Ovis aries: one gene and its partners. The protein of the gene in region 3 purifies or fractionates together with the protein of the main gene of each other region. This does not show direct contact. Links are inferred from orthologs where the notes say so. Each region holds a gene or a part of one and is shown on either strand. Other genes may lie near its edges. The genes, in order: STAU1, YBX1 and LRRC59.

Region 1 (3,652 bases), on a different chromosome or scaffold from region 3:
CCTACAAATCACAGCAGATTCTTGGATTTCCTGACCTGATGCCTAGCAGTGAAGTACTTAGAGCCGTTCATGAAATGCATCATGAATCCATTAGTAGAAAGCATGCTATTCTTTTTGATTTTAGTGAGTGTCATTCTCATTTCAGGAAGAAAAGTTCTTTGTTTTGATTCTGTGTTGCAGAAAGCATAACCCCTACTGTAGAGCTAAATGCGCTGTGCATGAAACTTGGGAAGAAACCGATGTATAAGCCTGTCGACCCTTACTCTCGGGTGCAGTCCACCTATACCTACAACATGAGAGGAGGTGCTTATCCCCCAAGGTACGTGTCTGTTTTGTTTTAAATCCAGGTGAAAGTATAGTTGCTCTTTCATGTGGAATAGTAAGGTGTATAGATTGTAGAATGCATAATGGTCTGGTCCTCTTCTGCCTGCCAAAGGCCTCCGCCAGTCTGAATTGTCCTGGTGTCACTGGAACTGCATTTTGATGCTCTTCGAACTCCTGTCATTGGAAAGGTCTTGGGCGCATTCCTCACAAGCAGTACAGCTCGAGCCCCAAGCAATCTGGTTAAAGACCACCCATGTAACTGCTTTGTGCAACTGAGTCATATTTGAACATGATTCTTGCGACACCACAGTTCTCAGCCCTCAGATTTATTGATTATTGTTTACTGGGTACTTTCTGACTTTTGAACTTACTTATGTGCTTTGTAAATAGCCTTGGTATACAGGTGCAGAGCAATATTAGTTGAAATCTGAAAGTGCCATGCATTTAAAACCTTCTGCTTGAGGTCTTAAGACACTAGTGGAGAGATTGATGATCAAACTGGAGGTCTTCATTTCCCTGCCCTACTTTGGGGTGGTAGTCAGGTGGAGGCCAAAGCCATTTTAAAAATAGAAACCAGCCTCTGCCAGGCTCTAGGCTGTTGGGATTTCTAGAAATGTGGGTCCAGTCAATTAGTTTAAATATAAATGGATCCAGTCGTCTAATTGAAAGACACAAGAGTGGACAACTGAATTTAAAGAAACAAAAGACCCAGCTATATGCAGTCTATAAGAGACTCTGCAGTTTCAGGAGCACACAAACTTTATTCCATACAAATGGAAACTGAAAGAAAGAAGAAATAGCTATATTTATATCAGACAAAATAAAGACTAAAAGACTGGTTTAAAAAGTCCCATTCTTTTCTGGAGACATGAAAGTGTGCATTCCAGGTATGAGAAAGTAGAGCAAGTTAAATTTTCTTTCTTAACCAAAGTCTAATCCATTTTAGATTTTGTAAGTATGGGTTAGCTTTATACATTGAACCCATGTAATTTGTAAGCCAATTTATTTTGTGAAATGTAAACAGTGTTTGCTCATACTGTGTGGCAATTCTAATCGAGCATAAACACATGAAATCTCTGGATGTGCTGATGAGGACTCATTATTGGTGAGCAAACACTGCTGTAATTAGGACCTGTGATGAAGGAAATACCTGGAATTTGTCAGAGATGGTATGGTGACTTATCTGAGACTAATTTTCCTCATCCCCTTCTATTTTTAGGTACTTTTACCCATTTCCAGTCCCACCTTTAGTTTATCAAGTTGAACTTTCTGTGGGAGGACAGCAATTTAATGGGAAGGGAAAGACGAGACAGGCTGCCAAACACGATGCTGCTGCGAAAGCCCTGAGGATCCTGCAGAGCGAGCCGCCCCCCGAGAGGCTGGAGGTGAGGCGAAGGCTGATCCGGGGCCCCTGGAGCTTGGGGTGGAGCGGGAGGGTGGTAGGAAGACATCGTTTCAGGTTGGTTTTTCTAAGAGGATGCATGAGAGCTGTGCTTAATGTTTATTGTTAGATAGCATACAAGCTCTGGTACCCTGAGGGTTTCTTGCCTTTCTTGCCCCTCCACCCACCTGGGAAATTTTAGCAGGAAAGTCAGGTGCCTTCTTGTGCACTCAGTGGCGTGGTTCTGAACATGTTAGAAGGATTGTGACTCACCTGAGTGGTGAAGAGCATGCGATGAACTCTTCGATGCTGAACATTATTCTTGTCATAATCTGTGTTTTATGGTACCAGGTTAGGGGATTTTCTGAAGCCATTTTGACCAGATGTTTTCTTTATTATCTTGAAATGCCTGTTAACCATTTGTGCTTAACGAACTGTCCCAAGACTTCGTGGCTTAAATACCTCCAGGCCTTTATCCTGCTCTCAAGCCTGTGGTCCAGGGAGAGCGTGGCATGGAGACCTCATCTCTGCCACGCAACGATGCGGCGCCGCGGTGCTGGAGGGTCTCTTCCAAGGCGGTGCTCTCGCTGGTTGGCTGTGTGTCGTCTGCGATCAAGGAGGGGGCATTGGTCCTGCAACCTTGGTTCCCGTCCTCTGTGGCCTGAGCAGAGACTCTCTATACACTCTCATGGTGTGGTGGCTCAGTCCCAGGAGGGCACATTCTGGGAGACAGGAGTTGGAAGCTGCCACCAGTGTCTCAGGGCCCTGGCCTAGAATTCAGCCCAGCACCACTTCTGCCGTATCCTGTAGGTCAAACAGGCGGGGAGCCCAGACTCAAGAAGGGGCTACAGGAGCTCACTTTTATTTATTGATTTAATTTTGTGTTGAGATAAAATTCACATAATTTCATAGTTTTAACTTTTGTAAGTATACAGGTCAGTGACCATTGGTACGTTCACAATGTTGAGAACCCCACCTGTGGATGAGAGGAGTATCAAAGAATTGGGGACTTATTTTATTTTATTTTTTTGGTTACAGCGTGCAGCTTGTGGGATTGTTCCCCAACCAGGGATCCAGCCTAGGCCCTGGGCAGTGAGACTCCGGAGCCCCGTCCACTGGACCCCCAGGGGACTCCCCTGGGGGCTGTGTTTCAAAATGATCATGATAGGTATAGGATGTTGTGACTAAATAGAAATATATGTTTTAGAACATCACTAAGTCATCACTAAAATGACTCCATGCTATTGTGTGGCCAAAGCATTAGTGGCTGGCTCTGATAAAGCAGTTGGATCACCAAAGGTCCAGGAGAGCCCACTGAGTAGAAAACGTTGTGATTTCATGGTTCTGTTTATCACAGCGTGAAATGCCTCCTGAACATATCCCTTGGAAGCATTTGACTTTTCTTGCTCAAGAAACAAGTTCTCAAACAATCAGAAGATCTTGCACAGAACGTTGGGCCAAATGCGTGATGATAGGTATGAAGCTGGGGGACCTTTCACAGGGTGCTTGCAGAGGTCTGTTGTGTCCACCTGTCCCCTAGGGTGACCCAGCTCAGGGCAGCACTCTGTGGCTTCATGGCTAGTTGCATGGGAAGGTTTTGTTTTCCTTTTGTTTTGGTGCATTTCCAGCTTGAGTGCAATCATACATTTTAGCAGAGATGTTCTATTTCCAGAGTTCACTGAGGACCAAATAGAAAGAAATGGACTATAACTTAGGAGGATTTACTGAAGTGAAAGGATGAGGTCCTTAGTGGTGAAATTTGTTAAAGTACTGAAGGTAGTGAAATCTGAGTCATTTTTGGAGGCATTGCATTTGTTGCGTTGACTTTGGTGCTAATCTAATTGGAATCAGATGGAGTAGGTATTTCTTGGTTCCTTCCAGCGAGCAGCTGTTAAATGATTACTGAACACTGGTATGTGGGCCGTCTGTTTCGGAATCACTTGAGAA
Region 2 (3,652 bases), on a different chromosome or scaffold from region 3:
TAAACTTTATAGATGAACATTTGTTTTTTTTAAAAAAAGCAGAAATCAAAACCAGAGAAAAGGTATTATCTTCATATAAATCAAAGTACACAGCAACCATTAGTTTGGGAAAGGCAGATCAAAACCACTTCATACACACCAGGAGAGCTGAAAACAATCACACTGGGGAGGGGGTGGAAAAACCCCTCAATGCATTGCTGGCTGGTCTGGCTATATAGAATGGTGCAGCAGCTTTGTAGAACAGCTTGGAGACTAAATGACCTAGCAGTTCTACTTCTAGATCTGTATCCAAAACAATATCCACCACGCATTATTTTAACATTCACAACAAGATGTGAAAATAACCCAAATGCCCATCAACCAAGTTAACGAAGAACAAAATGTAATATCCATACAACGGAACCTGATTTGGTCATAAAAAGAAATCAAGTACTAATGATAAAGGCATGAATGACAAATACACGAGGTGAAAGCCAGACACAAACTAGGCAAATACAGAGACAAGGAAAGCAGCAGCCAGGGGCTGGTGTGAATATACTAAAATCCACTGAGTCTCACACTTTAAACACCAGGATTACCAGCATGCCTTTACACCTGTGTAGGTCATTCCAGCTCTAACTATTTACGATTCCATTTCTCACCGCTAACCCCTCTAGTCTTCCACCTACCCCTCCCAACTTCCCCCGCCCCCCACAGCCCCCACCACCTCTTCTCCTGAAACGGTTTTCCCATGTGTCTGGGAACTCCTGACCAGTCTTCGGCAAAACTGCCCTGGCCCTCCCCTGTAGCCTTTTGAATTCTAAAATCCCACCTTTCAAATCTTAACGTCATGTTCCATTTTACTGCCCTTTTCCTACTGTAATTATCACGACAGTTCCACATAACATGGGCTTTTAGATTCTTTCAGTTCAGTTCAGTCGTTCAGTCGTGTCCAGCTCTCTGCGATCCCATGAATCGCAGCACGCCAGGCCTCCCTGTCCATCACCATCTCCCGGAGTTCACTCAGACTCACATCCATCGAGTTGGTGATGCCATCCAGCCATCTCATCCTCCGTTGTCCCCTTCTCCTCCTGCCCCCAGTCCCTCCCAGCATCAGGGTCTTTTCCAACTTGTCAGCTCTTCGCACGAGGCGGCCACTTTGCCTCCCATGCAACTCCTGTTTGCTACTTAGCTTCTCTCAGTTTCAAGCACTCCACTCTCTAGTCACCCTTTACTTCTTTTCCTGGTGTATTCCAGGAGTCTTCTTCTCCCACTCTTATTTCCACTAGGACCTATAATCCAACAATCCTATCGATCATTCTGTCCCTTAACTCTGCCTTAATCCTCTTCTCTCATTTCTCTCGGAAGTGCAAGGTCTACCACTAATGACTATCATCAAACCCAAACCCAGGATCTTTGAGTAGACAAATGCTGAACAAATCTAACTCTGCTTAATCTGAGGCTGCTGCTCAAAATGGCTGGAAAAGCACAAGCATGTTTGGTGGACCCACTTTAAATTTGTGATCACTGTTACTTGACTTCCGCTATTTCTCTTCTACAGATAATTTCACATATTTGTCCCAAACCTCTCACCCCTTTCCTTTTGACTTCACCAACACACTGGTGCCCATAAACTCTGGCTTTTTACACATGCAACATCCACGGTTCCCAGCAAAAGACATCCCATTGCATGGACCAAACCCAATCCTAACTGAAGATAGCTGCAGCAGATAATTCTGACAAGTACCCTTTTTTAAAAATTGCATTTTTCAGCCTACAAATAAGCTCTTATTTCTCAAACAAAAAAAATCCTTTCTTAATGATTCCTTTCCCTTTACTGCCACCTCATCTATCTTCCTTTCAGCAAAACTCCTGCTATACTGATCTCAGATTTCTCACAATCTGCTCTTGGATCTGCATCAATCATTTCACCCCCTGGATTATAAGTAGCATGTGTCATTTACTATTCAAACAAAAAATTCCTGACTAAATAGTTTGGAAAGCCCTGCATTCATCGATAGATTATAATAAATATATTCAAATGAGACCATTAAATAAAACTGAAGCACTCAACAAAAATTCATGTGCTGTTTTTAAACACACCAATGAAAATAGGTAGAAAATTGGCAAAGTTCTACAACGTAACAAGAAGTAGACCAAGGATACTGCCCTCGGGATTTAAAGGGACAGAGTATGAAAGCCTATTTTAGACCGTTTATCACTATCACAGATAAACACTTATCACTATTTAAGAGCTGACATTGTGATTGTTTGCAGTATTTCAACAAGGTATCTGTGTCTAGGTTTAGACAGATGCTACCTGTTAGTTTTAGGGATCACATCTGGAGACTCAATATTCTAAGACCTTTTACTACATATATGCATTAAACCTATCTGGCCTGTGAAGCTCTACCCTAATTCCTCTAATAATTAAACACCTTCTGTTAAAAAGGTACGCTTACCTTTACTTTTCTCCCTCCCAATGAATCAGGTCTTAAAGTTATAATACAATGCAGTTTAAACTACCATTCTCTTACCTGTTAAAGGACAGAAATGGGAAATTCCATACCCTCATTAGAGTAAAACAAAAACAAAACCAACTGCAAAAAGTAGACCACATCTATAAAGCTGTTTTTAACCAGTGCCAGCAAAGATGCAAAGAACACATTCTCAAAGATAACTGACTTCAGGTTCACCTCTTAGGCATCTGATGAAAGAAAATGTGAAGTGTTAACAGACAAATGACTGAAAAAGCCTGCAGAAGCAGCATGCTGTTGCCGAGTCGTAGCACGCGCTCCAGTCAACTCTAAACGCAAGCCGCACCTGCGGAATCGTGGTCTGTAGCCCCGATACAGGTTCTGTCTCACTGGTCTGCCTTGTTCTCCGGCACCTTGGTTGTCAGCACCCTGAAAAGGCAATGGAGACCAAGCCAAATTTTACTCCATTTACATTAGCGCAAACCCCAACCAGACAAAAGTCTGAATACAGCAGCAGTTAGAAGGAAATAAAATCCGTTTACCTCCATCACTTCTCCCTGCACAGGAGGGTTGGAGTACTGTGGTCGACGCCCGTAGGGTCTCCGCATGTAGTAAGGTGGGAACCTCCGCCTGCGGTAGGGCCGGCGCTGTTGGGCCTGGCCTTCGGGAGCGCTCTCCGATCCCTCATTCTTTTCCCCACTCTCACTATTCTGGTAATTCTGCTGGTAATTGCGTGGAGGACCCCTGCGACGTGGATAGCGTCTATAATGGTTACGGTCTGCTGCGTATTTACTGCCTTGCACTGGAACTCCACCAGGGCCTGTAACATTCGCTGCCTCCGCACCCTACAAAAGCCATCATATAGTCATAGTGACAATGGAATTAAGGACACGCAGCAAAACGCACACAAAAAGTACAAAAGGGTCTCTGTGGCCAGGGGTGCAGAGAAATGATTTAACACTAGCTCCTCACTGTTCTGAAGAGGTAGCCCTCTATCTGCAGCCAGCACATTAGGGTTGGTGCACCTGTGTTCAAGTGGTCACCTGACCCATCCATCCACCTTAGAGCCACCATCCTAATGGATGAGATCTCCAAAATATTTCCATACTGAAGTCAAACCTTTACACAAAAAGCATCCTCACCTTTTCTCCTTCAACAACATCAAACTCCACAGTCTCTCCATCTCCTACACTGCG
Region 3 (3,430 bases):
ACTGGTGAGGGCCCAGGAATGCCTTGTTAAGTCCACAGGGCGGGTCTGAGATTAGAGTCAACACTGATCAGGGAGGGAGGACAGATTCTCATCCTCCAACACAAGCTTCCTATCCTCTGTTCGTAGATGAAGAATGGCTGTGGGTGGTGTGGTATTAACAGCTCATTTACTACTTTCAGGCTTATAAGCGGTGTTTTTCTGAGCAAGAACGCCAGAATTTGCTCGCAGACTTAAAGGTGCGCCGTGGGGAAGGCGTGACAGCCACCTCGCGCCGTGTTGGACCAGAGCTGTCCAGGCGTATCTACCTTCAGATGACAGCTTTGCAGCCAGATCTCTCCTTAGACAGTGCAGACTGAAGCCAGCCCTCAGGATAAGGATGAAAAGCTGGTTTCCACCGTTGCAGCATGACTACAGTGTAGGAATGAGGAGCACCTCCTGCAGCACAAGCCTGGGTCCTGCCCACAGCAGGCTTTCCTTGGTGTTGCCATTTGTGATAGTGTGTCTACCTGCCCACCTGGGGTGGAGGCCGAGATGCCTTCCTCTCCTAGCAAGTCAACTGCCATGTATGAACTGCCCCTGCCCTTACCCCAGGCAGCCCTCAAAAATACAAAGGAACAAAGACAGACCACTCAGACATGTATTTAATAATCGTAGAAATCCAAAAGTACCCCAGCATCAAATCTCCAGGCCACAAGTGAACTGCCCTCAGCTGGTGGCCTGACGAGGCTGGACGTGCTCTTGCCTTCCCCCGACCCACCGGAGCTCCCTCACCCAGCCAAGGAACGGGGATCCAGTCACTGTGCCAACTTCTGTATTCTCTTAATCTCATCTTATGTCCTGTGTTTAATTTTAATAAAGCATTTGTACCACTGGCTCTGGAGCTTAGAGGAAAAATAAAGGAATGTATAGTGATTCTGGGTAAGCTGTGGGCCTACGCAGCAGTTCTCCCTGAGGGAGAAAAGAATACGTCTTTTCTTCCATTATTGGGACAGTCACAAGCGTCAGTGCTATCCATGGGCCACTAGTGCTGACAAGCTGGACCCCGCTGTCTCTGAACATGCCAGGTTCTCAATCTCCCTGGGGAAAGGCAGGGAGCTTTCAATCACGAGTATTCTGTGAATGAGCACCATGACGGCCATTTCTGATGTAGTGAAAAGAGGTGAAGGAGGCCACAGAGCAAGAAAATGCTTACTCTGGCAGATAAAGGGAGTGGACAGTGCTGCCTTGCTCATGCTAGTGGTTAATGTGCCACTTTTAAACTCCATGATGTCTAGGATCAATGCTAAACATCAAGTCTCCTATGAAGCTTAGTTTTCAGGTTGCCTATGTGGTATTGAGTCACACCAATTATGTAATAGGGCTGTCACAGACAATGTGGCTTTGCAAGGATCCAGCTTCTTGTTTATTGGCAATCAAGTGATTAATGCTCTCAAACTGATGCCAGGAGCCTGGACTGTGCCCATTTTATAGAAGCCACATAAGTTGTGGCAGGACTGCAGGAGCTGCCCAAGACCCTTATGGCTATGAGATTTCTATTTATAGGTCATAAGTCTGTTTCCCATGAGAGATTCTACACTCCAGCCAAGAGACACCCAATTCTTGTGTAAGTTTTGTTTACTCAGGACATTATAAAGAAGGTAAAATGATGGGGAAAAAAAGATACCAGGGTGGGAATCCAGTTCTGCCCACAGACTAGCTGGAAGACCATAGGCAAGTCATGGAAAGCCTCAGTCTCCCTGTCTACAAGTGTTACATTGGACTGGATAATCTGGAAGTCCTGTCACAGCCCAAGATTTTGTATGGCTGTTAAAATATCTGAATGTCTGAGATCCTTAAAAAGTAGGTATGCCCCTCCCCCGCAATTTAGATGAGATTTGCCAAGTATGGTGTTCCCCTAGTCCCCAATAACACACTGCCTCCTGACCTGCCCTGGCTCCCCAGGGAGGAATGAAAGAAAGGGTCTGTGACATACAAAAGTATAAATGTAGTGACAGCTGACCTTTAGTAGAAATGCGTCTTGCCTTTACACAGCTTTGTATAACAACTAGAAAAGGCTCTCTCCCTAACCCAAGCCTATTCTTTTAAGCATGCAGGTAACTGTCCACACCTCCTATTTCTCCTTATTCCACCAGGGAACCCTGACTGAGGAACAAAGAAGTGTTACAAAGAGGAGGTCTCAGGTACCAAATGGCAGCCATTTGATGATGGCAGGTAGGTCTGACACTAAAAAGAGGTTGTGTCCAGCAGAACCCAATTCCATAGGAATCCAAGCTCCAAGGCTGGGAGGCAGCAGATGTTGAGGACAAGCTCACTGTTGAGAGTCGGTCTGCAGGACCCACTGGAGGATGTCATGGCTGCGCAGGCCCCGGACGGCATTGTCGTAGATGGTGTTCACACTGGTGCAGAGGGGCTGCTGCTGCAGCTCGGTCACCCGACAAGCAACCAGCCCGCCAGCCACACACAGCAGCAGCAGCAGCAGCAGCTTCAGCACAGCCCAGGATCGAGTGTGTTTCCGGGGTGGTGGCTTACGGGGGCGAGAGCCGGACTTAGATTCTGGAGGGGCAGAGTCACAGTAGACAGAGTTCAGGCAGTTAGGGAGAGGCGCGCTCTAGTCAGTGCTAGCCACCTCCGTGCACATCCACTCACACCCCTCCACTCTGATGAAAACTCCCCAGGCCCTCAGGAGAGCACAATTACAAGGAGACTTGAGCTCTTAAAAACTTTGCTATGCAGAGACTGAAACATGAACTTTGTCCCTTGGATCTCAGGGAGTAGATTGAAAGCGGATTCATTGATGCAGATGTCTCATGTAGCATACAGTCCCCAGGGTCCTAAGTTCTCCTCCAGAACATGCCAATGATCCAGGCCCCTGGGGCCAAGGGCAGGGCTTTATCAGGAGGTGTCAAGCATGGATAGAGTGCTGCCCATTTGGGGAAACAGGTTCAAAATTTATAAATACTTCTAATATATAAAATAGCCTGACACACATATTGGCCAAAGTGATTAATACTGGAACTGGGATTACAGGTGATTGCCATTTTCTGATATATACAGAAATTCTCTGCAATTAATATAGCCAGTGCGGGGTAAGCAGGGACAGGCGCAGGCCTCCCCTCCCCAGAGCTTCCCTGTTCAGGTGCCTTCCCCTCAGGGGCCCCTTTTGGCCCAGAAGATATAGTCCTCACTTACACATGGAGCCACATTGCTACACAAATCCAACAGGGCATACTCAGGCAAAACGCTCATGTGTTTTTTACGTGACATGGCTTCCTGAATGCAGGCCACGTAATTCTGTGTTCACTAAAGAGTGATCTGGTCCAACTCGGAAAGAAAATCACAGACCACGCTGGCACCACTGAGACAGCACCACACACTCAGGAGCCCAGTCACTTGCTGGACGATGGGAGGATCTTCTAACAGTCATGTGACC

Evidence for each region.
Region 1: the proteins of LRRC59 (region 3) and STAU1 purify together in Homo sapiens (affinity purification with mass spectrometry; 3 studies listed by BioGRID). This does not show direct contact. The link is inferred for Ovis aries from reciprocal best matches to the Homo sapiens genes LRRC59 and STAU1.
Region 2: the proteins of LRRC59 (region 3) and YBX1 purify together in Homo sapiens (co-immunoprecipitation; 3 studies listed by BioGRID and IntAct, with this or other methods). This does not show direct contact. The link is inferred for Ovis aries from reciprocal best matches to the Homo sapiens genes LRRC59 and YBX1.

Annotation. Positions count from the first base shown.
Region 1 is NC_056066.1:77,263,202-77,266,853, reverse strand, and holds part of STAU1 (double-stranded RNA-binding protein Staufen homolog 1), read left to right. Parts: intron 1-180; coding exon 181-319; intron 320-1,543; coding exon 1,544-1,709; intron 1,710-3,652. UniProt on the Homo sapiens protein: Binds double-stranded RNA (regardless of the sequence) and tubulin.
Region 2 is NC_056054.1:17,197,783-17,201,434, reverse strand, and holds part of YBX1 (Y-box-binding protein 1), read right to left. Parts: coding exon 3,599-3,652; intron 3,302-3,598; coding exon 2,999-3,301; intron 2,886-2,998; coding exon 2,803-2,885; intron 1-2,802. UniProt on the Homo sapiens protein: DNA- and RNA-binding protein involved in various processes, such as translational repression, RNA stabilization, mRNA splicing, DNA repair and transcription regulation.
Region 3 is NC_056064.1:36,028,051-36,031,480, reverse strand, and holds the end of LRRC59 (leucine-rich repeat-containing protein 59), read right to left. Parts: intron 2,554-3,430; coding exon 2,309-2,553; 3' UTR 624-2,308; downstream 1-623. Other genes in the region: crossover junction endonuclease EME1, read left to right, coding at 180-356.